Linked DNA regions of Sus scrofa. The protein of the gene in region 3 purifies or fractionates together with the protein of the main gene of each other region. This does not show direct contact. Links are inferred from orthologs where the notes say so. Each region holds a gene or a part of one and is shown on either strand. Other genes may lie near its edges.

The links.
Region 1: the proteins of EIF2AK2 (region 3) and STAU2 purify together in Homo sapiens (affinity purification with mass spectrometry; 3 studies listed by BioGRID and IntAct, with this or other methods). This does not show direct contact. The link is inferred for Sus scrofa from reciprocal best matches to the Homo sapiens genes EIF2AK2 and STAU2.
Region 2: the proteins of EIF2AK2 (region 3) and ZNF346 purify together in Homo sapiens (affinity purification with mass spectrometry; 3 studies listed by BioGRID and IntAct, with this or other methods). This does not show direct contact. The link is inferred for Sus scrofa from reciprocal best matches to the Homo sapiens genes EIF2AK2 and ZNF346.
Region 4: the proteins of EIF2AK2 (region 3) and DHX30 purify together in Homo sapiens (affinity purification with mass spectrometry; 3 studies listed by BioGRID and IntAct, with this or other methods). This does not show direct contact. The link is inferred for Sus scrofa from reciprocal best matches to the Homo sapiens genes EIF2AK2 and DHX30.

What each region holds. Positions count from the first base shown.
Region 1 is NC_010446.5:62,136,957-62,144,300, forward strand, and holds the start of STAU2 (double-stranded RNA-binding protein Staufen homolog 2), read left to right. Parts: upstream 1-3,189; 5' UTR 3,190-3,313; exon of another isoform or gene 3,314-3,402; intron 3,403-3,579; exon of another isoform or gene 3,580-3,672; intron 3,673-3,832; exon of another isoform or gene 3,833-3,969; intron 3,970-4,380; exon of another isoform or gene 4,381-4,475; intron 4,476-7,344. UniProt on the Homo sapiens protein: RNA-binding protein required for the microtubule-dependent transport of neuronal RNA from the cell body to the dendrite.
Region 2 is NC_010444.4:80,891,456-80,898,717, reverse strand, and holds the start of ZNF346 (zinc finger protein 346), read left to right. Parts: upstream 1-3,140; 5' UTR 3,141-3,181; coding exon 3,182-3,356; intron 3,357-7,262.
Region 3 is NC_010445.4:103,038,634-103,046,035, reverse strand, and holds the start of EIF2AK2 (interferon-induced, double-stranded RNA-activated protein kinase), read right to left. Parts: upstream 5,008-7,402; 5' UTR 4,682-5,007; intron 2,038-4,681; exon of another isoform or gene 1,953-2,037; intron 1-1,952.
Region 4 is NC_010455.5:30,598,717-30,606,261, forward strand, and holds the start of DHX30 (putative ATP-dependent RNA helicase DHX30), read left to right. Parts: upstream 1-3,322; 5' UTR 3,323-3,559; intron 3,560-3,792; exon of another isoform or gene 3,793-3,917; intron 3,918-5,342; exon of another isoform or gene 5,343-5,429; 5' UTR 5,430-5,524; intron 5,525-6,206; exon of another isoform or gene 6,207-6,288; coding exon of another isoform or gene 6,289-6,313; intron 6,314-7,238; coding exon of another isoform or gene 7,239-7,293; intron 7,294-7,545.

The DNA.
Region 1 (7,344 bases), on a different chromosome or scaffold from region 3:
GTTTTGGAGTAAGTTCATTTGTATTTTCTTTCTTTTCTTATACTCCACATATCAGCAATATCATGTGATATTTATCTTCTTCTGTCTGGCTTCTTTCATTTAGTATGATAATCTCTAGGGCCAGTCACTCATTCAGCCAGTGTTTACTGTTCAGCACAGGCACTGTGCTAGATGCTGCAGAAGCAAAGATTCAGGAAGCCATTGTTCTTGTCTTCAAGGAGCTGATGGTATGTTGGAAGAAACAAATACTGTGTCGTGATAAAAACATGTTCAGGGGAGTTCCTGTTATGGCTCAGCAGGTTAAGAACCTGACATAGTATTTGTGAGGATGCGGATTTGATTCCTGGCCACGCTCACTGGTTTAAGGACCATGATGAGTTTGAAAGCATTATCCTTTTCTGATGGTTGAATATTTGACTGCAATGGTACCTGGTAAAGACACACTGATAAATTTGCTGCTTTGTTTTAATCAGCTTCCAATAGGACCAACACTCTTCAGATATCTATTATTTTTAACTCACACATAAACATTTCACTGTAAGGTCAAATCCCAAGATGTGTGGATTTCCATGTTACTCAGGTGATTTCATGCCCTGATGCTATCTACACACCTTGAGCCATTGAAAGTGCTGATTCATGCTTAAAAATAACTTTCTCTGTGATAATTATAGCTTTTTTTTTTTTTTTTTTGCTTTTGGCTGCAACTATCCTGGGCCAGGGATCGAACCTTTGCCACAGTGACTCAAGCTGGTACAGTGACAACGCAGGATCCTTAACCTGCTGAGCCCTGAGGAAACCCCCCATTATGGCTTCTAAAAACTCATTGTATTTGGGGTTTAAATGTAACATGCTCATAGTCTCCTTAACAAGTGGATAACCAAAGACTTAAATCAGTTTTAAGAAAAAGTTACAGTGGAGATAAAGTTTTCAATTAATTTTAATGACCCGAATTAGAGGGAATGACACTTCTGACCACTTCAGAGTCCTTTCTAAAAGCGTAAACTCATCCATTTATTCCAAAGGCATTTACTTCCACTTACTGGCTATTGGATGCTGGGACAACAAAGAGGAATGAGATACAGAGACTGGCCTTAAACAATGTACTGTTCGCCATGTGGAGTCAGGCTCAATAATAATCTGATACACCAACTAAGTCAGAGGAGAGAGTCAGAGGAAAAGTGTGGCTTGCTCAGAGGAATTAGAGAGGTGATTTTATTTATTTATTTTTTGGTCTTTTTAGGGCGGCACCTGCAGCATATGGAGGTTTCCAGTCCAGGGGTCCAATTGGAGCCGTAGCTGCTGGCCTACCCCACAGCCACAGCAATACCAGGTCCAGGCCCCCTCTTCGACCTATACCACAGCTCACCTCGACACCAGCTCCTTAACCCATGGAGAGAGGCCAGGGATCGAACCTGTGTCCTCATGGATGCTAGTCAGATTCATTTCTGCAGAGCCATGACCGGCACTTCAAGGAGGTGATTTTGGAATGATTTGAAGGATGATTTGCTCCTTGGGTGAGGAGAGGGTGGACTGCAGGGAGAGGAGGTAGCTGAGGAGAGGCACACAGGTGGGAGGCTTGTCCCTTGATACTGCAGGTGTATGGACTCATTCAAAACATTCAACAGGTATTTGAATGCAAGGCCTGAGCAGCTAGAAGTCCTTACTCAAGGACTAGAGCAGATTTAGGGAGGATGCACCAAGTTTGAAGGAACCAGCAGAGGTGAAAAGAGGGGAAGGAGCTAGGACAGAGTTCTAGGGGGAAAATGCAGCTGTAGCTATTATTTTACCAAGTACATGCCAGGCTCTGTTTAAAGGGCTGTATACATACTATCACAGTTAAATACATGTTATCACATGTTATCTCCCCTTGAACAAAAGAATAAACAGACTCATTGGGTAACTAACATGCCCATGGTCTCCTGGCTAGTAAGTGGATAACGTGGCCTGGTTATCTAATTCAGATGCCCTTGCTTTTAAGCACTAGCTACAGTGTCTTCCCAGCTGCTCAGGGACCTATGGTTTTAGGTGATGTCTGAAATCACAGGCCTAGTCCACACTGCTCAGGTGGAGAACTGACACTGGGAGGGAACCCTGGGAATAATAATGCAAATGGACAAGTGAAAATACAATAATAACCCTATTTCCAGACTTTATTGCCGGATTATTTATGGTGCAATTTATGGTGCAGTGGCCTGTTGAATTTCACTGGGCTTAACTGGGTTGAAGTTATCCGGACATCACTAACCCACATCAAAACCAGGACGAATCAAGAAGGAATTCGAGTTTTCTGGCACCCTTGGCTCAACAATCTAGGATCTAGGACACTGTTCTAAGGTGATCATCCTTATTGGTTCGAAGGATTTCTTTTTTATGTGACCACAGACGATTTCTTTTGTGGCTGAGGAGGTTGTCGGGCCACGCTGCGGCTCTTGGAGAGCAGGTGATTACCGATCACTAGTGTTTTCTGGGCGAGACAGTTGCGCCAACCCCCTCCCCTTCTCCCCCGCCCCCCTCCTCCTCGCAGTCGAGAAAGGTGCAGGATCCGCTAAACCGTGCAGCGCACAGCGGCGGCCAGAGCCGACGCGGGATGGTCGCGCGTCCCCAGCAGAGCAGAGAGGGCCAGCGACGGAGCCTGGGGAAGGTACGGGCGGGGGATCGGGGTTCTGACACTGCCTGGAAGGAGCAGTGGGTCAACTGGGTGGGGGAGACAGTTGCCGAGTGCAGGTGTGGGAGAGGCTGCCCCAGGCCCATCCTTTGCAGCCGAGGAGGCGGGCAGCTGGACTGGAGACCAGGAGCCTGGGGTCGGGGTGGGGTCCCCGGGCACTCGCTCGCCCTGCTTCCCAAAAGTCCCTGGGGACCGGCCCTGGCCCCGAGGCCGGCCTGCCGGCGCCACCACCGCAGCGCCCGTGGCGGCAGCTGCTGCGTCCGACTGCCGGCCGCCAGGGGGCGGGAGTGGCGCCGCGAACAATGGCCGCGCTCGGCCGCGCGCCGGCGAGTGGAGGAAGGAAGGGAGGGAGGGCGGGCGCCCGGTGCGCGGCCGCGGGGCGGGGGGGCGGGCCAGGGGCGCGCGCGCGCACACCGGGCGAGCTGGGGCGCGGGAGCGGCTGCGTCGGCGGGGGCGCGCGGCGCGGGCCCGGGAGGGCGCGGCGGGAGCGCCGGGGAGGCGGGCGGGCGGGCAGGCGGAGGCGGGGGGCGGGGAGCCCGAGGGGTGGAAGCCGGCGGCGGCGGCGGCGGCGGCGGCGGCCGAGTGGGGTCAGTTCTCTGTAGTGTTTGCCAATGTTGGAGCCGTCTGCAAAGTGTCCCTGGCGAGAAGGTAAATTCCCTGGAGGAGGGGTGCGTCCGGGAGACCCCGACATCCGCCCCGCTGGCGGAGGAGACAGAGGGCGCTGGGGAGCTTTGCAGGTTCGCGGCGCGCGGCGAACCCCGAGAAGAGCGGCCCCTTCGCGGCCTCCCCTCCCCCGCGCCTTCCCTCCCTCCGCGGGCTCGCTCCGGGCGGGAGGGGGAGGGAAGGAGGATGGCGGGGGCCGGGGAGCTGGGGAGGTAGCGAAAGAATTGGGGGGGGCGTGTGTGGAGGGGGTGGGTCGACACAGGTGTCTGGAGAGGAGGAGCCGGGAGGAAGGCGAAGAGGCCGGTGCGAACGTGGTGCGGTGGCGGGGGGGTGTGTGCCCCAGGGTAGTAGGGACCTGGGAAGGTGGGGTCTTGGGGGCGGGGGTGGGAACCGGGAAGGGGGGATAGCGGGGGTAGTGGCGGTGCGGGAGGGGGAAGGCTGGGGGGAGGTCCTTGCGGAGAGGAGGTTGGGAGGGGAAGGGAAACTGGGGGGGGGGGAGGCCCATCCTGGGAGGGTCTGCGGGGAATGGGCCTAGGGGCGCGGGAGCAGCGGCGGGGCGGGGGCGCGCCGGGGGGCGGCGGCGGTGGCTATTTCTGTAGAATGGGCAAGTGATGAAGACGTAACGCGCCGAAATGGGGAAGGTAGGTGGGGCCGAGGGGGACAAAATATATCCTATGACAGGCAAGTTCTGCCGTGGCTCCTACGAACTACTCCGGTGAGGGCTCTGCTTAAAGGGGTAGTTGGCAGTTGTGACCTTGCGGAGGTGAAGGGAGTCGGGCGAAGAGGCAGATCAGTTACAGACTCCACGGTGTAAGGACAGAGCCTCCAGTCCCTCCGGGGAGAGCCGCGTGGATTGTGTCGTGGGGGCTGTTCTGCAGAGGCAATTGAGACGCGACGCTGATATTCTTCGGGAGGGGGGCTGGGATAATGGCCTCGGGGTTCTGGAAGTCCCTGGAAATATGTGCAGAATTTTGCATTTGTGGATAATTTTCTTTGGAAAGGGGCCATACTTGGCGTGACACCCGCCCCCCCCCTTCCCTTTCCCTTTTAAGGTTTAGAACTACTTGAGTTGAGAAGGACCGTTCAATTAGAGGAAGGTACTATAGGATTTTCAAGTGGGTGGTTCCTGCAGAAAGCTCTTTTAAAGGTATTTCACTGTTCGCTGCAAACCTTTATTTTTAATGTTTGAGTTCACAATTTTGGCGAACTTTTGCCAAGTCTTACTGCTCTTCTGATGCATCCTTATGTTTTAAGAAAGCATGATGAACATTTGAAATCAAAATTGTGATGGGCAGGCAGGATAATAGTAACCTTGTAGGAGAAAAGATTGCAACATTGCTCCTGAAGGCTATTTCTTCTCCGTCCTTGATTTCTTAAGATGATTCACATACACTGTTGTGAATTGAGCTGCAGTGGGGAAAAAAAATCTCATTTAATAAAACATCAAAACCAAGACATTCTACATCTTGCTTGTTTTGTAATAGGGCAAGTTTTTCATTTTGTCTATATTTTACTGCAAACCAGAGATAACACATACCACTTGAATTGTAGATTTGCTGCATTTTGCAGCAGGCCTGTATTAAATTTGTGAAGCACTTACACCAAACTATGTGATGTCTGTGTTTTTTTTTTTTTTTTTTTTTCTGGCTATGGTTTTAACTCAAGTCACCGTAGCCACATCATTCCATGGCATTGTAATTTGAAATTTATTCCTCAGTGATTATTAGTTGGTAGGTATGGTGCAGATTTCCCATATGCCACTAAAATTTTCCTTAACTTGTTTTGTATTTGTAAAAATATTGCTGTATAATTGTATGTACTGTTAATTTCAGATAGAATGACATGTAATTTTTTTTTTTTTGCCCTGTGGCATGTGGAAGTTCCAGCCCAGGGATCCAAGCCGTGCCACAGCAGCAACCTGAGCTGCTGCAGTGATGCCAGATCCTTAACCCACTGCACCACAAGAAAACTCCACCAATTTTTAAGTTTTAGTTTTTTTATTTGGAAATAATTATAAACTTACAGAAAACTACCAGGAATAAGAACAATACAAAGAAAGGCTATTCATGTCACTGTAACTTAGATTCATCTGTTACCATTTTACCAAATAATCATTTGATCTCTCTTTGTCACACACACAATATTTTTTTCCTGGACCATTTGAGGGTAAGTCACATCATGGCTCTTTATGCCTAAATACTTCAGCATGGAAAATGATTTTTAAAATCCACATTTTAGCATATTTGGCTTGCCTGGAATGAGGTTCTAGGGAAGAGTTGCTTGGTCTGGTTTAAAGCAAAGAATATCAGAAATATCTAAGGTGGTCATCACAGTTATTAGGATATAAATGATATAAAAAGTGAGGCTGAGTGCTTTTCCTCTGTTAGGATCAGGTCCTGGAAGATATAATTGGCCAGTATGTTGGTTTTTTTCCGTTGTAGTTAACCTCCTCTTTACTCCTATTGCTCTGTCTTCTTTTGAACACTGAGCACTGGGTATCTGATCATTTATGTGTACAGGTCATCATAAAGAAAAGGGAAGAGTCTAGATGTTGCAAAATTGAATTGTTTTGCTCTTAGACTGAAGAGTGGGACAGATGCACAGTGTAATCAGATCATGATGGATATATTTGTGCCTCATCTAGATAATCAAGAAAATACTAGATGAGTGTCGGGGAGCCATAATATTATAGTTCATATTTGTGTATCGTTGATTTTGAATAAAAAGTTCTAAATGTTTTTGCTTTTCGTATTGTCAAATGAGACATTTAAGTGAGTATTGCCTGTCAGTTGCGGGATGGGTGCCAATATCAAATTTATAGATCTATTACTTTAATAATGCCATTTAATAAAGCAGGGTTTAATTTTGCATAGTTTTCAATTAACCAGAGAGGCAGGATGTCGTAACAAGAACAGAGAGTTATAGCAGTACAATTCAGATACACGTTGGACCTTTAATTCTTGATGAGGACACGTCTTCTCCAGCTAGTAGTGCCTTCTCTTCATAGACTGCCCTGCCTGTTTTCACTTAGTAGCTTGGAATCTGGAACTCCGTGTCCTAATGTGCCTGACTGGATAACACTGTAGGGCATTTTGGGGACATGTGAATAGGTTTCTCTAAAAGTACTTAGCTGTAATGGAAATGGATATCAGCTGGGAACTTTTTTGACAGGGGAGTGGTGAATTTTATGAAACTGTAGGCAGTGTAAAATGCTGTTTTGTTGATCGGACTTGCTATTTTATGAAGTTGTTTTAAATGTAGGATGGTAGGCCTGGCATGTCTTTAAAGAAGAAATGAAGTGGGCATTCCAGATTGTCGAGAGTTAAAATTTATATTGATAAAAGCCTGATGTAACTTGTTTGTGAAAAAGCGTAAGTTCAGGATGTTGTCCAGTTACCTCACAGAGCACTGTTGCACACAATATTACTTTCATGTTTTCATTTATATGGATCTTTATTTTATAATTATGAAGGAAAGGATTACAAAATATTTAAAATTGTATGGTCAATTTTAAGTGAATAGATGCTTTCATCTTTGTTTCTTCATAAAACTACCTTGTGTAGTTCCCTGGTGGCCTAGTGGTAAGGATCTGGTGTTTTCACTGCTGTGGTGTGGGTTCAACCCCTGGTCCAGGAACTTCTGCATGCTGCGGGTGTAGTCAGAACAAAACAAACAAAACAACTACCTTTTGTATATCAGAAGGTTAGAACCTAAAAAATATACTCCTGTATTTTATTGTGCCTACTTCTCAGAATCAGCCATCATTGTTGCCAAACTCTAATACTGAGGGAACATGTACTGGTCCACAGATAAACATTTGTAACTTTTAGAGGCTTACATGAAATAAAAACAAAATGAGGTTTCTCAAATTTGGTAAATGCTTACGACTTCATGTTAAATTCTGGAACATAAGGGACGCTAAATCACTGAGATGCTTTTAGTGATTTATTCATATCCAGATGAATTGTTTTCAATTAAAAAAAGAAAATTAGTTGGGTTTGTATTTTTAGTTATAG
Region 2 (7,262 bases), on a different chromosome or scaffold from region 3:
CCATACCACCGCAGCAACCCAAGCCCCTGCAGAGACAACACCAGATCCCTTCCCACTGTGCCAAAAAAGAACCCCTCTAGTAGATACTTTCATCTCCAGAGTTTAATTTCCCAGAGCACAGGAATCATATTTTACTAGGCTCTGTAATGTGGGCTGGCATGCCCAAGAACACACAAAATCAATGTTTATTCAACTGAAATGTCTGGTGAACTGTGGCCCGTTCCTGTCCCTTGGCAAAGCCATTTCCCTCATATTATTCTTCTCCCATAGCAACAATACACAGTAGAACATGTTGAGCAGTGGTTCTCATTTTCCACAGGGAAGAAATTAAAGTCAGCCCCACAAATACTAGGCAGGTCTTTCAACAAGGAGTTCAGGCCTGGACAAATACTAGAAGCATTTTCACAAAGAGACAAAGCGGAAAACTGATGACATGGGCTGTTTACAGACACTCAGTGCTGTAACTCAGGACTCTGCCTCAGTGGCACAGGGGGACAAATCAAGACAACATTCATTGGAGAATAAATGGAAATTATTTTGAGCATCTAATTGGATTGGGAGTGGGAGGTGGGGGACTGTTATCCAATAATACATATAGCATCATAAGTACCCCTTTCTCAAGATTTGCTCCATTGTGTTAAATATATATACGTTCGAGTTACAGGATTTTAACAAAGATGCCCTTGGTACTTCTACCTGAATAACTCATGCTACACAAATATAGGTAACTAGAAATCTTTTTTAAGATAAGTAATATACAATAATGGGTTTTTAGGCTGGTCATGTGGTATTGGCAAAAAGACATGGATTTGCATTCTGAGGACTAGTTTGTTCAAGTATGGGCTCTGTGGCTAAGTAGCTGTATGGTCCTGACAAAACCTTCACCTCTCTCAGTCTTCCTTTATTGTCAAATAAGAAAGAATCTACATAAGAGAGAACCACCCCCAGGATTCGAGGATTAAATGTTACAATGTATGTTGTTGTTTTTTGTTTTTTTGTGGTGGCCCTGGAGCATATGGAGTTCCCAGGCCAGAGATCAGATCTGAGCTGCAGTGGTGGGATGGAACGCACATCCCAGAGCTCCCAAGATGCCTCTGATCCCACTGTCCAACAGTGGAAACTCCTATATGTTAAAGGTGCTTCATAACTATAAAGCTCTGCACAAACACCAGTCATCTATTGCACTGGAAGCTTTGGAGCCTGACATGAGGCCTGACACAGAGCTGGCGCTCACTATTTGCAGTCTCAATAAATAAATACCACTGATGAGTTGTGTGATCTCAGATAAGAAAAATCTCTTTCTCTCCTTCCTCATCTGACACCACGACTCCAATGTCCACCTTGTTCACTGGAATACAGGCATACTGTCCTTTTTCCTGTTCCTCCAACACAGCAAGCTCACTCCTACCGTTGCATCTATTTCCTCTCCTGGAACATTCCTCCCCAGTTCTTTGCATGGTGTCCCCTTCTTACCAATCAGGTCTTAGGTCAACTATTTCTTCAGAAGCTTTCTCTGACCACTTTGACTAATGTTCCTCCCATATCATTCACCCAATGTGTGTTCCTGTTTTATTTTCTCCTTAGCAGTTAGCACTATCTGTTGACTTATTACACTTTCCTTCACTAGAATAAAAAGCAAGATAGAGCTTCCGCATCTATCTTGTGCACCACTGTATTCCAATGCCCAAAACAACATCTAGCTCATAGTAAATTCTCAATAAGCATTTGAAATAACTTTATATCAAAAGTTTCACTATTGAAAAAATATATACTATGTACCTATGAAGATTCAGGCTCTATTTCAAGATGCTGGGGATTCAGCTGAGAGCAAAATAAACAAAAATCTCTGCTCTCCTGGGGCATGCCTTCTAGTGGGGAAACAATAAACAAGATTAAAACAATACCATATCTGATAACAGTCAGTGTTAAGGAGAAAAAAAAAAAGCAGGAAAGGAGGATATGAAGTGTATGTGGAGGGGCAAAATTTCAGCTAGGACAGCCAGAGAAGGAAATAAAGAGAAGAGCCACAAGGCTATATGGGGAAAAGGCCAGGATAACTGGGACAGGAATGAAGGGGCTGGAAGCTAACACAACAGGAGATGAGGTCAGGGAGGTTAAGAGAAGTCATACTGTATAGGCCTTACTGGCTAAACCAAGGACTTCGACTTTTACAAAGAGTAAGATAGGAAGGTTTTGGAGAATTTCAGCGCCGGGGTGCCACCATGTGGCTTGTTAAAAGAGGATCTCTGAGAGTTCCCCATGTAGCTCAGCGAAAAAGAACCTGATCAGGATCCATGAAGATGCGGATTTGATCCCTGGCCTCGCTCAGTGGGTTAAGGATCGAGTGTTGCTGTGAGCTGCGGCGTTGGTCGCACAAGCGGCTCAGATCCTGAGTTGCTGTGGCGTAGGTCAGCAGCTGCAGCTGCAGCTCTGATTCAACCCCTAACCCCGGAACTTCCATATGCAGCAGGTGTGGCCCTAAAAGACAAAAATAAATAAATAAATAAAATAAAAGAGGATCTCTGGCGCTGCTGTTTTGGGAGAATACCTGAGGGATAAACGAAAGGGCCGGTGAGGATGCTAAAATAATTGTCGCGCGAGAGAGTGCTCGGAAAGACTGAAGAAGGAGCAGACGCAGCGGTTGGAATAAATTTCAGCTTGTGACAGTTACGTTGGAGTACAGTTTAGCAGGAAGACTAGGCTGGGGGTTAGTACCTGGAACTCAAATGGTATGTAATATTAATAGTAATCGAATCATGGAAATGGACAACCAGCTCTACCACTTACTAGGAACGAACTCTTGAGTAAGCCATTTTTAAGTTCTGGGCCTCAGTTTCCCTACTAGTGAAACAAATATATTCCCACATAACAGGGCTTTCATGAGTATGAAACGAGAAGTGTCAAAAGCTGACCGTGAGCAATGTGAGAAACCTGAGCCAAGGACTGCACGAGCCTGTCCCGGAGGGAGGGGGCTGCCGTGGAAGCCGCGACCAACTCCACTCACAACCTCCGATGTCCGAGCAGCAGCGTTGAAAAGGTAGCCGCTCTCCCGCACTGTAACGTAGTCTGCGGTGCCCAAACCTCGCGAGATTTGTAGGCCGGGCAAAGTCACCCTCCCACCCACATCTCGCGAGACCCACGTTCCTGAGCGGCTATCGGCAGGTTAGAGCTTGCGGGGAAGATGGAGTATCCCGCGTTGGGCTCAGTGGAAGCAGCGGACAGCGGCGTGGCCCAGCTATACAACAGCTCGGAGGAGCGGGAGGGCCGGGAGCTGGATGCGCTGCGCTTCGACCGCGAGAGGGCGCGCCGCCTCTGGGAAGCAGTGTCCGGGGCCCAACCAGTGGGGAGGGAGGCAGGTGAGTCCGGGGGTCTCAGAGGCAGGAATCCCCTCGCCCGCCTGTTCATTTCCTCGGGAGTGGCGGAAGCGCGGGGCGAGAATGCGGATCAGCCCCCGGGTCTACGGTCACACCCCCTGGCGCCCGACCTGTCCCCTTGCGCGACGCGCCCCGGGACTCCCTTGACTCGTGCACCCCACCTGGGCCCGAGCGCCGTGGGTAGCTCCACTGAAAATCGAGACCGCGGCACCCCAAGAATCGCGTGCAAATGATCAAGGGCCTTTTCATGCTCGGGCGTGGGATTCTTTCCCCCGCCTTCTTCATGCACCAGAGCGCATATCTTCCTAAACTCCAGGACTGGAATCATCTGGGCGTGCCGTCATCACCGTCTCAGATCTGCAGAACCTTCCTCGCCTGGCCAGACTCTTAGCCCTTTCACTATACCAATCTCCAGGTTTCCCGGTCCTAGTGTCTCTTGCCTCCCTTCTCATGCCCTACACTTCCGAGGGCCCTAGAAGGCCTTACACCATTGTCCTTCCTGGACTTGGTGACCGAGCCCTGGCCTACCCCCTGCTTCTTGATATCTCTTGTCTCCACCAGCTGGGTCCCTTTTCAGAGATGTGGGCCAGGAGCCTGAGAACCTGACCAGGATATACTTTGACTCCAGCTTCTTTGTATCCCAGTGTTGTGGAGAACAGGATACACAAGGCTACCCAGGGGGCCACTTCTGGACTGAAGCTTCCCAGGTTGACTTGGCACTGAGTAAGATGGAGTAGAAAAAGGAGGATGGAAAAAGCTGCCCTGACCCTGCTATGTGACACCCTTCACAGTCAGCAGAGCTATCTGCTTAACTAACCCAGAAGTACACAAACTGGGCCTTTGTGCTAATCCTGTCAGGTAATCTGCAGGGAAATCAGATTTCTCTAAAGGCTTGTTTACTTGCTGAGCAGACTAATTTTGGAAAGTAAATATGTTGCTTGTGAACTGATTGCCCTGGGATAAATGGAATTTTTGTCTAGGAAGATGTTTAAATTTGGAGTGGTATGCAGACCTATACCCTGATGAATATTTCTTAGTCCAGTCTGACTCTTAAATTAGTATAGAGCACCTGTCTCCTTCATCCTCATACATTCAAATGTATTTAGCACAAAGTTGCCTCTCCTCCGCCCTCAACCTCAGCAATTTTCCTTTCATTCATTTGACATTCACTGACACCTGCTCTGTTCTCAAGACTGGCTGTCCTCAGAGCCACAGAGATGAGGAAAATACTGTCCTTGTCCTGAGGAGCTTGTAGTCTAGTCCAGGAAGCAGACACCAAAACAGTTGCAGTATAATGTAGTGGATGCACTAAAGAGGAATATCTAAGAGTTGAAGGTGCACAAAGAGGAAGTGACCTTTGTCCTCAAGGAACAGAGAAGGCATACCCTGAAGCAGAGAACACAGCATCTGTGTGCTGAAAAGTGAACTGTCTGTGTGTGCACACTGTCACTTTGAACATTTCTCTCCTTTCCTCACTTTGTCCAATAATTTATCTGAGGTCTAGGTAGATAACCTGTAATACCAAGTCCTACTCAACTTGGTTTTTTGTTTTTTCTCTTAGCACTTTCATTGAGTTATAATTTACCTACCATAAAATTCACCCATTATAACTGTACAATTCAGGAGTTCCCGTCGTGGCGCAGTGGTTAACGAATCCGATTAGGAACCATGAGGTTGCGGGTTCGGTTCCTGCCCTTGTCAGTGGGTTAACGATCCGGCGTTGCCGTGAGCTGTGGTGTAGGTTGCAGACGCGGCTCGGATCCCGCGTTGCTGTGGCTCTGGCGTAGGCCGGTGGCTACAGCTCCAATTGGACCCCTAGCCTGGGAACCTCCATATGCCGCGGGAGTGGCCCAAGAAATAGCAACAACAACAACAACAACAACAACAAAACAAAAGACAAAAGACAAAAAAAAAAAAAATAACTGTACAATTCAGTGATTTTTAGTAAAACTATGGGGTTGTATGGCACTAATCTAATTTAGAATATTTCTGTCACTCCAGTTAGTTCTTTTGTGCCGCTTTACATTAAATCTTCACTTTCACCTCCTCCTGTAGGCAACCACTAGTTTTTTTCTGTCTCTGTAAATTTGCCTTTTCTGGACTTTTCGTATAAATGGAATCATATATATGTAGTATTTTGCATTTAGCTTCTCTCACTCAATATGTTTGGTTTTGGTTTTGGTTTGTCTTGCCCGTGCCTGTGGCATGTGGAATTTCCTGGGCCAGGGATTGAACCCGCATCACAGCAGCTACACAAGCCACAGCAGTGACAGCGCTGTATCCTTAACCCACTGAGCCACCACAGAACTCCGTCACTCAGCATATTTTGAGGTTAAGCCAAATTGTAGTGTGTATTAAAACTTCATTCCTTTTATTGCTAAATAGACTTTCATTGAATAGATCTTGCTTTTTTTAATCCTCTAATAATCTCTGCCTTTTGAGTGGGCTATTTAGACTATTCACATTTGATTTAGTTATTGATAAGGCTAGATTTACTGGCTCTGCTTCACTGACCTTGTGAAAATTAACCCTGTACTTCACATTCTAGATCTCTCCGCCTCTGCCCCATCCTCTGCTTATCTACTATAGGGATACAAATTAAATCCTGTAAATCAGTTGCCTTCTCATAAGAGCTGAAAGATAGAAATGCTGTGAAGATCATATTCCTATGGCTGTTGGCTATAGTTACTATCAAGAAAGGTCATGGAAGGAGTTCCTGCTGTGGCATAGTGAGTTAAGAATCTGACTGCAGCAGTAGGGGTTACTGTGGAGGCACAGGTTTGATCCCTGGTATGGTGGGTTAAAAGGATCCAGCATTGCTGCAGCTGAGGTATGGTAGGTCGTAGCTGCAGCTCAGATTCAGTCCCTGGCCCAGAAACTTCCATATGCCACAGGCATGGCCATAAAATAAACAAATAAATAAGAAAGGTGGTAGAACTATGAGATCTTCCTTCATCAGTGTTCCTGCATCCGTTCTCCAGCTTCATAGGTTAAGAGGCATGCGCAGTGACAATGGAAGCTGCTTACTGCCAGCAAGGCTTCAATGGAGGCCTCAGAAGCTTTAACTCACCTATTGAAACAGTTATGCATTGTTCATAGAGACATTTCTGGAAGGCTCAACTCTAGCACCTTCAGCCTTTCCAATGATTTTCTAAGCACCTAATGTCCAATATGAAACCTGCCCATTTCTGGTAATTGGTAGTTGGATTAGAGTTGTTTGTGGATAACTGGGCAACTTTCTGGCCACCTTCTCAGAATTCTGATGATTCATGTAAGTTATGTTTCCCTCTGTGGGAAATATTATGAACTTCTCACAGATTTTGTGAGTCAGGAATTCAGGAAAGGGTTGGCTGGACATTTCTGACTCAAGGTCTCTTAGACAGTTGTAGTCTCATGATGGCTAGAGCTGAAACAGCATTATAGGCTGGCCAGGCATCTCTCTCTTTTTTCATGTAGTCTCAAGGACTCTTCATGTGATTTCATGCATGGAAAAGTTAGAGTTTCCTCACACTTTGCAAGAAAACCACTTCCTGGTGGCTAAATACTTTAAGAATAAATATTCCCAATTTGGTTCATTTTATCATTCCTGTCTTCCACGTGTCTGTGTTGCTTAGTGGTCAGCCAGTGCTTCAGTAAATACCTGGAGCCCATAAGGACTCAGTCCTCTGCAGCTGGATCTGTGGGTAGGTAGGAAAGTGCATTCAGAGTTCAGGCCGTTTTAAAGTCAGCTCCGGAGTTCCCGTTGTGGCTCATTGGTAACGAACCTGGCTAGTATCCATGAAGATGCGGGTTTGATCCCTGGCCCTGCTCAATGAGTTAAGGATCCAACATTGCTGTGAGCTGTGGTGTAGGTCACAGATGCAGCTCCAGTCTGGCATTGCTGTGGCT
Region 3 (7,402 bases):
GCCTCGCTCAGTGGGTTAAGGATCCAGTGTTACCATGAGCCATGGTGTAGGTCACAGATGCGGCTCAGATCCTTCGTTGCTGTGGCTGTGGCGTAGGTGGCAGATGAAGCTCCATTTCGACTCCTAGCTTGGGAACTTCCATATGCCACGGGTGCTGCCCAAAAAAAGACAAAAACAAAAACAAAACAAACAATAACTTTTCATTTCCCTTTGCTCTAAGCCCCTAGTAACTGCTATTCTATTTTATATCTCTATGAATCTGCCTATTCTAGGTACCTCATATAAGTGGAATCATACAATATCCGTCTTTTTGCATCTGCGTATTTCACTTAGTATATGTCCTTAAGGATCATCCACGTTGTAGAATGTGTCAAAATTTCCTCCCTTTTTAAGGCTGAATAATATTCTGCTGTACGGATATACTGCATTTTGTTTATCTATTCATCTGTCGACGAAGATCTGGGTTATTTCAACCTTTTGGTCATTGTGAATAACACCGATATGAACACTGCTGTACAAATATCTGTTCAAATCCTACCCTCAAATCTTTTGTGTCTATACCTAGAAGTGGAGTCACTGAATCTCGTGGTAATTTTATGTTTAACTTTTTGAAGAACTGCCAAACTATTTTTCACTGTGGCTATAGCATTTTATTTCCACTAGTGATGCACAAAGGTTCCAATTTCTCTGCATCCTCACCAACACTTGTTATTTTCCATTTTTAAAACAGCCATATCGTAATGTTTTTTTAAACATCAACTCAATCATGCATGTCCCACAAACCACCACAATTGTTCTTCTTAAGGTCACCAATAGCTTCCCCAACTTTAAAACTAGTAGTCATTTGTCAGTTCTCAGTCCCTGTCTACCTGACTCATAATCAACATATGACATGGTTGCTCATTCCATTCTCCCTCCTGTCCCCTTCTTAGCTTGGACACCTAAGACACCACCCTCTCCTGGTCTCCCTCCCTTCTCACAAGCTACTCCTTCTGTCTCCTTTCCTGGTTCCTCTTCATCTCCCCTTCTTTTAAATATTGTAGTATCTCAGGGTCCAGTTCTCAGATCTCTCTGCTCTACTTATTCTCACTACCCTGCTGATCACCTTGAGGCTTGTGGCTTTAAATTCCACCTACACAATGATCATTCTGAAAAGAATGCCTCCACTAGCAACTCTTTCTGGCTCCCAACTGCTTCTGTCCAACACACTCCTCTCTGAGAGGCTCTGGATATGACCCTTCTGCCTGGCTTTTGTCTGGCCAACTCCTGCATCCTATAGATCTCAAGTCAAACATTCCTTCCCAGACACTTTAGAAGAGGTCCTGGTTTGATGATCTATCACAGCCCTTGTCTCCTTTATTGCAATTGCTAATTTAACGCACTGTCTTCCAAAAGAGACCATGAGCAACAAGAGCGAAGGGAGTAGGTTTATCATAGAGGCTCAATGATGAATAAATGAATACCAAAGTATCTGTACATCTCCATCATCTCCATGACTTGTCACATGTTTTTCTCTCCCAATACCTATACCCTTTGTCTACTAGGAAATTCCTACTCATCTGTGGGAACAATATATACTTCTTTTGAAGCTGAGGGAGCAGCTAGTACCTCTACATGGGCCTGCCACCCCTTGTCAGCTCCCATCATAGTGCTGACTGCTTTTTACACTAGTCAGTGAGCTCTTTGGGGAGCCAGCTCTATGTCTTACTCATCTCTGTATCACTGCCACCCAGTGGCAAGTGGTAAATTCTGAACACCTGGATGGCATATAGGGAAATGAGAGATTGAGTCACTAAAATTAAGCACTCCATCTTAAACCTCATTGTCTCTCTTTTTCTCATCTGTTGTTTTCTGTGCATCCTTTCTTCATTCATTCAGCAAATGCTTAGCAAGTGTCAGGCACTGTTCCAACACTGGTGTCCATATGTGAGCAAGACAAATCAAGTCCTTACCTGCACTCCACTGAAGAAACAAAGAAGACAACGTCCAAAAACAAATAATAGGAGTGGGTATATGATGACCAGATGGCTGGAAGTGCTACAATGAAATGATACAGGGGCATTTAGTAGGTAGGGGCAGAGATATGAGGGAGATGCTTTGATACAGCGGTCAGGGAAGGCCCTTCTTAGGAGGCAATATTTAAATCAAGCCTAGATGATGAGAAAGCCCATCACACTTAGATATGGGGGGGGGGTTCATCTCAGGCAGAGGAAACCCTAAGGCGGGCACCATGATGGCTTCTGGAGAGATAGCAAAAAGGCCAAGGAGACTGCTGCACAGTGAACAAGGGGAGCAAGTGGGAAGTGAGTCAGAGAGGGAGGCAGGTGCCACAGCACACAGACCATGAATGAACTGTGGATGTTATTCCACTTGTAATGGGAAGCTGAGGGTTCTCAGCACAGGGGTGATGTGATTGGATTTATGTCTTTAATGATCAATCTGATGCTATGCAGAGAACAGAGCATGGGGGCAGTTGTGGAAAAAACAAGCAGAGCATGAGTAGAGGTCAGGAGACTAAGTCGAGGCTGCTGCAGTGGTTTAGGGGAGCAATGCTGGTGGCTGGAAGGGCTTAGATCTGAGCAAAGGCACCATCTTTGCAACACCACTTAGTGTTATAGAGAGAGCTAGGCTGTCAAGCCACATAGATCTGAGATAGGCACCTTTCTTAACCTTTAATTTGTGACCAGAAAAGAGGAATGAAAACACCTGATTCACAGGTTGTTGTGAAGAGTCAATCAGACAAAAAGCATCCAGCAGGGTCTCCCACAGCAATGCCCCTCAGTGAGTGGTGCTCCTGGCCTACAATCCCCAATTCCAAAAAGCACTGAAAACTGAGGTTTACTTTATTTTCATTTGATTTGGTTTCGGTCAGTGTGTAGCCCCCCATCTAGACCTGAACTAACATGAGTTATTTAGAGTCTTTACCACACTTTGTTGTCTGCAGACAACATTTATACATTTCACTGCAGAAATGTTTTATGATAGACTGCTGCTCCACTCTAAGAGCATTAAATTACTTACTAGTTTTTAAAAAATCCATAAGTCCCTGAGTACCAGGACATACCTGACCTAAGGGTTTCAGATAAGGATCTGCAGCTGTGTCATTATTTTTAGGAACCAAAGTGTCATTTAGTTTAGTCACAACCATGAGACCATGCATCCAATTGCAGGAGGCCATAGATCTCAGAACACCAGTTATGGAAGAGTCCTTAGCAATTATTTAAACCAAAGTTCCATGGAATGCCCTAAATCCACAGAACTTTTACCTCTACATAACTGCTGATGTTCAAAATGACAAGCCAGTTTGAATTTAAGCAAAACATAGGTGTAAACCAATAAGGTGCTCAATTGGCCTGTTTGAAATAAGTACTTATGAGTTTGGAAAAAAAGAAACAGCAGGTTTCCTTTCAACTACATCTCATTTGAATATATGTTACCATTTTCCTAAAAGAAAATTCCATCATAATCACTAAAAATGTTATGTGTCCATCTTACTCTTGCCCAAAAGTTACTTTGCCTGTGCCTTGATTCCCTTACGGCAGACTGTGAACACTTACGGGTCAAGCCCCCTCCAGGGTCTGAACACTGCTTGACAAACAACATTCAACTAGTACCTGATGAATTAAATGAATAAACTACACATCCAGTGTTACGGATCTTCAGGTTCAAATACGGAAAGAGAAGAACAAGGGCATAAACTGCTCAAGATTCTAAGTTCCTAAGGGACAGCAGGGAGTCTCTTAACTTCTGATTGGCGGGTCTCATACTCTGGAACTCAAAAGAGAATGTATTAACTACCACTCATTAAATAAAGACATAAGGAATATCTATTATGTACTAGGTTATACTAGTGAACAAAACCCTACTCTTGTGAACTTACTAGTGGAGGCATATGGACAAACCCAATAAAAAGTGTCACAGGATGATAAGTACTATATTGAAAACCAAGGCAGAATAAGGGGGACAGCAAGGGAAGAGTGGGGCTTCTTTCACATGCAGGTTGTTCCTGGAAGGCTGCTCTGATAAAGTGATATTGGAGGAAGTGAGAATAACACGAAGGACTGGTCCACACAGGTATCTGGAAGAAGAACCTTCCAAGAAGACACAGGCAGTGCAAAGGCCTAGAGGCAGCAGATAGTGCTGAGCTGTGCTCCAGGAACATCAAAAAGGCCTGCGTGGTCAAGAATGGAAGGAGCACTAAAAAACACTGTGTGGGATTCTGATGAGATGGGAAGCTACTGGGGAGCAGAAAGGGGTTGTCTTGTTCGGACGTGAAGTCAGGTTCCCGTGGTGTTGAGAGGCGGTGCGGGGGTGGGGGTGGGAATGGAGTTGGAGCTGGGGGGGGGGGGCTAAAGATGGGCTTTTGGGAAACAGTTGCGACAGTCCAGGCAAAAGACTTTTGGTCAGGGATTATTTAGCCAATTTTTTGGGCAATTCAGGCCTCCGTATCTCCCATCTGTTGTCTCTCAAGGATGGGGCTTTTTCGTTTTCCACTGGTTGTCCCTGCCCCCAGCCTGCGTCTGGGCAAGTGATTACTTGCTCTGCTAAAAAGATCTTCGCGGGAGATGAATGGCTTTGGTTCCCACCGCGCTGCATAGTCCCTCCCCAAATTCAGCAAACGCCCCACCTAAGGCCTCGGACAGCGCTCCCAATGCAGCGGCTCAGGGGTCAGGGGTCTTACCAGGGTCCAGTCCCAGGCTGGGGATGCAGGATGGCGAGCGCCCTTGTGGCTCCTGGTTGTCGGCCCCTCGCCACTCACCCGCGCTGCTGCAGTCTGTGAAGCCTGGTGGGATCTGGGCCGCTCACTCTCAGTTTCGTTTTCCCCGCGGACTCCGCCTTCTTCCCCCGCCGCACGGGCCCCTCCCGCACCAGTCAGCACTTGTCCGCGCAGGCTCCGGGATCGCGCGCCACTGGCGCCTGCACCCGGAGTTCCCGCGGGCGGCAGTGCGGAGCCTGCTGGGCACCCGCCGGCCGCTGCTGCGCGGTAGAGCGCGTCCGGGTCCCTGCGGCCTGACCTGGTCTTCTCATGCTGCTTCCGGCCCCCGTGGCGGGATCAGTCCGCCGGGATGTGGGGAGGACCTTGAGGTCTCCGAGGCCCACTGCGTGGCGGGCGCTCCCTGAACTGGGCTCTTCAACGCAACATTTGGGACGGCGTTGCGGGGAAGGATGTCATCAGCTCCATTTTACATTAGAAACTGAGCAAATTAACTGTCCCAGAACAAAGCAGGATTCTATTACTCTTAACCACCAAAGCACCCTGCCTCTTCCTCACATTCACCAGGCTGGGAATGAAGAGGTCTGCTGGCATAATCTCCCTTCAGTCTGTTTCCAGCCATCCATCCATTCATTCAACGATACTTGCCAGCCTTTGTACCAGCCAGTCCATCAGTTAGAGCCACTTGCTCCCCGCGCAACCTCCTGGAGGTTTCGACCAAAGTTCTTACCAGAAATCCCAGATTTGTAAAAAAAAAAAAAAAAAAAAAAAAACCTACTCACCTAATGGACTATGACACCTTCCCAAAGTAATACTGGTGCCTCGACCAAATGACTGAGGAGTGCTGAGGACTTACCTCACAACAGTTCTGCAAGGTAGGTCCATTATTATGCCCATTTAACAGATGAGAAAACAGGCCTGAGGCACAGAGAAGTAACAACTAGTAAGCTGAGGAGCCAGAATTAGAACCAAGAGTCTGTACCTCAGCATCCTAGCTAGGGTGAGTAAGAGAGGTGGTCCCAAGGTGGACTTCAGGTACACATTACCTATTGGCCATTGACTCCAGGAGTCCTTTCCCACTTCTCTTTTCTACCCCCTGTATGACAGGATATCAATGGCTAAACACTGCATTTTCCTTGATTTAAGTTCCCCCAATGTGGCACACTGATGGGAGTTTGGAAGGCAGGTAGGAGGCAGAGCCATCTTTCTGTGCCCTTTGAGGTCGCAAAAAGCTCTAGCTTTAGTGGCTCTTTGAAGGAGTCCACTTACCAGCTTCGTGGGTGTGGGGTGACTGTGACAGCCACAATGGCAGTAGCAATGACAAGTTTTCTGACTTTTTGAAGCCTCTGAACTGTCCAAGAGCTTAAGGAAAGAAAATGACAAGCTCAAGCATGGTCAGAGGCCACAAATTTTTATGGTTGAGGGGAAAATCTTCTTACTTCTTGTAAGCCTCAGGGCTGATAGAGCAAAAATCAGGTGCAGAGTCTAATACTACAGGGTAGCAGAAATACTATATAAATTTTTGTTGTTGTTCTTTTAAAGCTTTATTGAACTGTAGTTGAGTTGTAATGTTGTGATAATTTCTCCTGTACAACAAAGTGATTCAGGTATACATATATGCATAACCATTCTCTATTAGATTCTTTTCCCTTATAGCTTATCACCGAATATTAAGTAGAGTTCCCTGTGCTAACAGCAGGTCCTCATTGACATTCTTTTCCATTACAATGGTGTGCATATGCGGGAGTTCCCATCGTGCGCAGTGGTTAACGAATCCGACTAGGAACCATGAGGTTGCGAGTTCGGTCCCTGCCCTTTGCTCAGTGGGTTAACGATCCGGTGTTGCCGTGAGCTGTTGTGTAGGTTGCAGACACGGCTCGGATCCTGCGTTGCTGTGCTCTGGCGTAGGCCGGTGGCTACAGCTCCAATTCAACCCTAGCCTGGGAACCTCCATATGCCGCCTGACGGCCCAAGAAATAGCAACAACAAAAGACAAAAAGACAAAAGACAAAAAAAAACAATGGTGTGCATATGCCAATCCAGACCCCCAGTCCATCCTCCCCCTGACCTTTCCTCTTTGGTAACCATGAGTCTGTGAGTCTGTTTCAATTTTGTACATAAGTTCATTTGTATCCTTCTTTTTAGATTCCTCAAATAAATATCTTACGATGTCTGTCCTTGACTTACTTCACTTAGTATGATAATTTCTGTGTCCATCCATGTTGTTGTACATGACATTATTTCATTCTTTTTTTATGGCTAAGTAATATTCAATTGCATATATGTACCACAACTTCTTTATCTTTTCTATTGGTGAATATTTAGGTTGTTTCCATTGTCTTGACTATTATAAATAAGACCACAATGAAACTGCGGTACATGTATCTTTTCAAATTGTGGTTTTTCTCTGGATAGATGCCAAGAAGTAGGATTGCTGGATCATAGTAATTCTATTTTTAGTTTTTTTTTTTTTTTTGAGGACCCTCAATACTGTTTTCCATAGTGTTTATATCAATTTGCAATCCTACCAACAATGTGGGACGGTTCCCTTTTGTCTGCATCCTCTCCAGCATTTATTGTTTGTAGACTTTTTTTTTTTTTTGACTGTTCCTGCAGCATGTGGAAGTTCCTGCACCAGAGATCTAACCTGTGCCACAGCACGAACCCAAGCCATTGCAGTGACAATGC
Region 4 (7,545 bases), on a different chromosome or scaffold from region 3:
TAGTTCACAGCAATGCTGGATCCTTAACCCACTGAGCGGGGCCAGGGATCGAATCCAAGTGCTCATGGATACTAGTTAGGTTCATTACTGTTGAGCCACAATGGGAACTCTGATGTTGTTTTTCCACTCTATTTTCTGTTTCTTGATAGCCTTGGTTATGAGTTCTAAAATTAGTTTCCACCAATATCTCAAACTTAAAAAACAGCTTAAATGGCATGAGTACACAGGACAAGAATCTGAGAGTGAGAAGCCGTTATCTAAGCACTATCTAAGCCGTTATCTGGAGCACTTCTGTGGCACTGGGGATACAGATATAATCCAAAAGGTTGGCATTCTACTTGGGGCAGACAAATCAAAAGAATACTTTGGGAGTTCCCATCGTGGCGCAGTGGTTAACGAATCCGACTAGGAACCATGAGGTTGCGGGTTCGATCCCTGCCCTTGCTCAGTGGGTTAACGATCTGGCGTTGCCGTGAGCTGTGGTGTAGGTTGCAGACGCGGCTCGGATCCCGAGTTGCTGTGGCTCTGGCGTAGGCCGGTGGCTACAGCTCTAATTCAACCCCTAGCCTGGGAACCTCCATATGCCGCGGGAGCGGCCCAAGAAATAGCAACAACAACAACAACAAAAGACGAAAGACAAAAAAATAAAAATTAAAAAAAAAAAAAAAAAAGAATACTTTAAGTGCTACCACACAGGTAAGAATAAACTGCTAATAGAAGCTCAAAGTTCGGGAGTTCCTGTCATGGCTCAGTGGAAATGAATCTGACTAGCATCCATGAGGACACAGGTTTGATCCCTGGCCTCACTCAGTGGGTTAAGGATCTGGCATTGCCGTGAGTCATGGTGTATGCCACAGATGAGGCTCGGATCCTGCATTTCTGTGACATAGGCTGGTGGCTACAGCTCAGATTCGACCCCTAGCCTGGGAACCTCCATATGCATGAGCAGGGCCCTTAAAAAAAAAAAGAAGCTCAAAGTAGGGCCTAGAGAAATGAGTAGGAAACTGTCAGGAGATGTGAAGTTTCTGGACAGAGATCTTAGCAAAGAATAAAATCTAGGGACTGCACACAGGAAAATAAGACAGTGATAAGGAAATAACTAGGAAATAAGAGGTGAAATATATGGGAGGGAAGGAAAAAGACACTCACTTTGATATATAATGGATCATTTTATCAGTCTCTCTAGTTACAGCCATTCATTAAGATTAGTTCAAGGCTTAGGAGTTCCCATTGTGGGGCAGTAGAAACAAATCCGGCTAGCATCCATGAGGATTCAGGTTTGATCCGTGGCCTTGCTCAGTGGGTTAAGGAGCTCTGGTGTAGGTTGTAAACGTGGCTCAGATCTCCGCATTGTTGTGGCTGTGGCCGACAGCTGCAGGATGGATTTTACCCCTAACCTGGGAACTTCCATATGCTGCCGGTTTGGCCCTAAAAAGGAAAAAAGAAAAAAAAAAAAAGTTTGAGGCTCAAGAATAAGGAAAAGCTCTTCTGGGACAAAATAAAACATAAAATGTGCCAGGAGAAAAAGTGTTTATGAGTTCCCTTGTGGAGCAGGGATAAGGATCCAGCATTGTGCCTTGGGTCACTACTGCAATGCCAGCTCAATCCTGGCCCAAAACCTTGCAGAAAAAAAAAAGTATTAGAATGTTCCACTTGTGCCTTTTGCAGGGCTTCCTCTAGGTTTTGCTTTAAAACTTATTTACATGCTTTTCTCATCCTCTCTAGCAGATTAGAATTTCCTTTGCAGCAGAGACCATATCTTTATCACTTAATATTCACAAGGGCACTTCAAAAACAATCTGAATGAGGCTTAATCTATTACCTCCAACTCCCATCTCCCTTAATTATAGTAACAGTGCATAATACCTCCAGTTACTGTGGTACCACCTCAAAGCCATCACTCCACACATCTGTAGCCAGGGACCAGCCTGGAGCTCTTCAATCGCCCTCTCATTCTTATCTTTCTTGTCTTTCACCACTGAACATAGTTCAATCCTTCATTACTTTCATTTGGTTAGTATCCAAGGTAATATTTTTCCAGCCAACTCTACTCCCACACTTCCAGAATAACTTCTCTAAAATACAGTAAATTTACTCTCCTACTTGAACTGTAAAAATGTCTCACAAAAAACAATTGATTAAAAATAAAGTCAAAATCCCAGCATAGCATCCTGCTTTTTCTGCTCTATTTTCCTAAACATATACATATCCACCCCATTGGTCACATTGAACTATTGAATAGTCTTAGGATTTGCCTTTTGTTCCACCTGGATGCCTTTGCTCACGTGACTTTCTGTACCTTTTCAACACTATACTTCCTCTCCAGCATTTATAACTAACTTTCTGCTTTACAGATGTTTTCATCTTCTTTACTGGCCCTAGACCCCTTGGGAGCTGGGTCTTCGTTTCTGCCACACAACTGCTATCCATCAATATCCCTGAAGGCAACATCCCACACACATCATAGCCCCACGCCCTGATTAAAACAGGTAATAATTATTTGCATGTTCCATGCTCACCTCTCTCACCCTTCTGTCCCACGTTGAGATAAAATAATAAATACTTGTTAAATTTAAATGTTTGGACAAAAACGATGGGATACGGCCACATTTTAGAAAGCATATTCTAAGTCTTTCCAGCAGTAAAATCCTGACCCAGCTTCAGAGCTACTCCCCACTGAGATGTCTCCTTTTGACATTCACACTGGAGCCTCATTTGAAGGAATGCAGCACAAAACAAGGACAATGCCCTTTCTCATCTCAGGCGAGAGGGAGGCGGGGGCACGGGATCTTTAGACACGCCCAGCAGCTCTCTGACCTGCGGTCTCCCTCCACTTACAAGTGCCCCCTTGTTCTTTTCCTAGCGTTGTACTGTTCACAACGCGCGATCGTGTTAACTTCATCTTCCTAACAATCTTGTGAGGCAGAAATCCTCATCTCCCTAAAGAAACAGAAGATCAAAGGGAAGATGGAGAAGAGAAGAGGCGTGGCAACGAGCCGCGGCGGGGAAGCGGGTAGAAGCCCGGAGCCAGAGTTGGATTTTGTTCCCGGCTCAACCCTGACCCGGCCTGTGTGTTTACCCGCAGCGGGAGGCGCGGGGCGGGTGTGCAGAGGACCCTAAATCTCTCTCACAATCACACTCGGGATGCTAAGCCACAGCGAAAAGGGCGGCGGCCCAGGCTCGCTTCCTGGACGCCCCCAGGGCTCCTCGCGTGCTCATCCTCTTAACTACCCTGCCGGAAGTCCCGCCTCGCCCACCCCTCATTGGGCCCGGCGCCGGAGTCTCGCCGCGGGTTGGCTACCCGGGGGCATGAGCCCTGGGCGGCCACTGAGGGCCTCAAGCAGGGGACCAGCTGCAGACCCGCGGAGACGCGGGGTCGAGCGCGGGAGGCGGGGCTGGGGGCACGGGACCGGGAGCTCCCGCGGCTGGCGGGACTTCCGCCACGGGACCCGGAAGCGGCCGCGCAGCGGCTGGTGGGAGTTGTAGTCCGGCCGTGGTTTGGGGGGGCCCGCGGCTCATGCGCGGTGCACCGAGGCTTGTTTCACATCTGTAACAACAGGTGAATTGGGCTTTTTATTCTCCCCTTTCGTGCCCCCTTGAGGAGCCGGCCGCGGCCGGGGGTGGTCGGCGCGAGGAGGGGCTCGGGTCCGACCGCCGGCTTGGCGGAGAGTGGGGTGGAGAAGCGGGCTGGCCCGTGAAGCAGGCCGGGCATCCTAGGCCTGCCCGGGAAGCCGGCCGGGCCGAGCCCTGGCCAGCCAGGCCTCGGCCTGCCGTTGCCATGGAGCCGGGGCGGGGGCGGGGGCCAGACCGGTCCGCTGGGGCGGGCCTCGTAGCCAGGGGCACCGCGGGGGCCGCTGGAGAAGCCGCTTCATTGGCGCAACAACGCCTCCGCCTCAGGGGATGCTCTGTTTCCCGAGGTAGGGCCTGGAGGAAGCCCCCGGAGTGCCCTGGGACCTTTGTCTGCCCCCGTGCCGCCTGGACCGTTCGTCCAAAAGGTGGCCTGGTGCATTCTGGCCCCCCTGGTTTGCCTCCTTTTGCACCGACCTTTTTACTGGGGGAGGCCAAGGGGTGAAGTGTTCTTTGTTTGCTGGTGGTGACTTGCCCCATTTCGCAGGGGAAGACCTAATGCATGTTGGGTCCTTTGTTTGCAGTGAACTGAAGTCCCAGGGGTCCTCAGAACCCTCGAGCCAGGAGTATGGCGTTAGCATGCTGTCTAGCTAGTCGACGTGTAGCAACACTGCTCACTTTAATTGTGATTTTGCAGGGCAGAGATTGTTCACTTTCCAACCTCCATCTACAGGGGCTTGTCATACACTGTAGCAAGTGGACTGCAGGTGGCCAGTTGCAGATTCTAAACGTGGGTTTTAGTTGCAATTTACTAGCCAAAGCGAAAAGAGCATTGTTTGTTCGTTTCCCTTGCAGTTTCTTTGAAGGCAGTAACCCCACTGGCATAGTGGGACTTGACTGCATTTTATAGTTTACACTTAAATCTTGGAATCTTGGAGTTTCTGGAAGGAGAACTCTTTTCCTGATATAGTATTTGGGATTTATTTAGCGCTTTTTATTTATGTAGCTGTTTTAGGTGCAGGAAATACATCCTTTGCTGCATTTTCTGTGTAGGTTGTCCCTTTACCTCCAAAAGATACTTACTCTCCAACTGTTTTAAAATATGGAATTGTGGTCCAAAGTTTATCAGTTGGACCTTCTTGCCCCTTTCAGCCTTAAGATGCCAACACAGAATATTCTTTCAAAGAGTGAACCATGGGACATCTAGGCAACAGCGTGATAACATGGGAATAAGTAGTATAGTATAGCATGGAAAACTTTGGAGCTCAATCCCTTAACTGCAGATTTGCATTGTGCCTTGAGACAGTTATGGGATGTTGGGCAAATTGTATAAGTTTCTCTTCTCTGGGAAAATCTGCCTCAGTTTCTTTCCCTGGGAAAGATATTTCCTACCTCACTGGTAGTTTCATAGCTTGAGTGAGATAAAGTGTGTGGAAGTACTTTGTAAGCTGTAAAGATGGTACTTAACATTTCAGTCTTGATCTTTTCCCGATTGGAAAAGCTTTTTTATCTACCTTAGAATAGGTTCATATTATAGTCATATGGAAATAGAGCTCAAAACTGAAGCAAGTATTGCTCTGGGCTTGGAGACGATGCTTTCAGGACTACATGTCCCTCTTTACTGTGACATAATCTTTCTTGGTGTCTTATAGATGCTGATGTAGGGCATCACACAATTTGATGGGTCTGGAGTGGGTCATGGCAGGTTCTGAAGTGAGGCCAAAGTGTATAATATGTGTTTTCATGCCACTAACAAAACTTGTCCTTGTTGTTAGAGTTAGTAAATGAATTTCAATGGTCCGGAGCAACTTTCTTTCCCTGCGGGGGCCATCACTTTAGTGACCCAGCATTGTACTTCCCAGGAGGAGGCCCAGCCTCGTGATGAGGAATAGCAAAGAGAGAATTCAGCTCCAGTTTAAAAGCCTTCAAAATCTGAGACTGTCACTGCTCTTGTAAGGTAAGTTGATCTAGTCATGCACACAAAGTAGTGGTGGGTCTCAGGCTCAGCCACACTATAAAGCAGAAGGCATGTATTAAATCCATTTGTGACTGTCTTGGAAGAAGGGTATCATTTTAAATTAATCATTATAGACTCTGTCTTTGAATCATCTCATAGTGTCTCTATCTGGAGTTAAGTGGTGTTTCATTATGCAAGAAATTTTGACATAATGTTATTTTACTTATCTCTAGATTATTTAAGAAAAACTCTAAACAAAGTTTTCCAACATAATACTGTATAACAAGGAAGACAGTTTTCTTTTTAGATCTCTTTGAAATGTTCTAGGGCTTTATAAACTAATCTCTAAAAGATCCTATCCTGAATCTCACAGTATATTTTATTAAGACTTATACAGGAAAAGATAGTGTTACATGAGCCTTTGTTGGTGTGGAGAGGATCAGGGACTTTTTAAAAGCAAAATGAGTCTGTTTACAAGCAAAATAGCTTTTACAACTTCATAGCTAGAAAGTATTGTTTTTTAATTAATAATCACTTAGATGTTTTAGATTTTATAATACTCAGATTTTTCTTTAAAATTAGAATCTCAAATTATACCCTTTTTCTTTTAATGTGGGTAGAAGGAGTCTATAGAATGTAACTTATTAAAGTAAATTGTATCATTGTTGATATTGTATTGAAGTTTTCTTTCTGAGCTACCATATCCTATCGGCTGAAATTTCCGGCATCCCTGGGGGAGAGGAGGCCATCAGGGCAGACCTGCTATGGACCTGAAAGATTCGTCCCCAGGTCAGCCCTCCACCCCCACCTCCCCACAATTTGAGAATAAGAGGGAATAGTAGTCAGGAGCAGGAATAGGCCCCATTAGACTCCTAGTAATCTTGGACATCATCCAGATTTGCTAAAATGTTGTATAGGTGTTTTTAAACTAAGGCCATATAGGGTTACTCCATCAACCCAGGAGTACTACAATATTAAAAACATCTGTAAGTCTGAGTTTGAGTGCTTTGTAAAACAAAGTTGTTAAAGCAGAGGTGTTCTTTATTGTGTGTGTGTGTGTGTGTGTGTGTGTGTGTGTAAGTCTGTAGGTATATTCCTCAGTTAAATGTGCTAATGGAAAAATGCAGCAAAATTTTTGGCCAATAGTTAAACTTTATCTTAATATTTGTTATTTCATAGAGACGCCACCATGAAAGGCTTTTTGTTTCAAATCACTCTCCATTTACTCTTTGATACTGTCAGTCAAGTTCCATTCCTAGGGTCTTGACTAGGTTTTGTGAAAGCCCAATATACCAGTTTGTCCATAAGGCAAACATCAGTCCCATTTCCTGATGGCACATGAGAAAAAGGGTCCATGTAGAATTTTATTTCTTCCTACAAGTCCTAGGATAACTGCAAGTATTGTGATGAGGTGGAAGTATATGTCTCTCATGATGAGATGCACCCCCTTCTGTTCCTTCTATTTGGTAGGGTTCAGGGAGTTTAGGACAAAGAAAAGAAGAAAGCCCTCAATTAGAAATAAAGATGTGTAATTACTTTCTAGTGGAGATGGCTCTTCCTTCCCTAAGACTGGGAGCAGCAGTTGGGGCTCATTAGTAAAGAACTTCATTTGTCTTGTCTTTTGGACAGTGCTTTCTGTGTTACTGAAGTCTTCTTTGTGGGGTTCCTGGGCCAGAAATATTAACCATTGCCTCTTGGCCCTGTTTCTTCTTAGGATTCCAGCTTTCACTCCTGGCCAGAAATGTTCAGCCTGGACTCATTCAGAAAAGGTAAGAATGTAGTTATATGTAGTAGGCCCTTCCTCTCTGTGATAGGTGGCTGTGAAAATCCCTCACCAGTGTGTAGTCCTTGGACTCCCTCTTTGAGTAACTTTCCAAAGTCCTTTCTCAGCCTTCCTCTTGCTTGGTGCTTGTAATATGTGCCACCTCCTCTACACCCAGGTCTTTGTGTACATTTGCCCCCCCCCACCAGAATGATCTCTCACACACATTTACTGCTTATTGAAATCCTACTATTTTCCT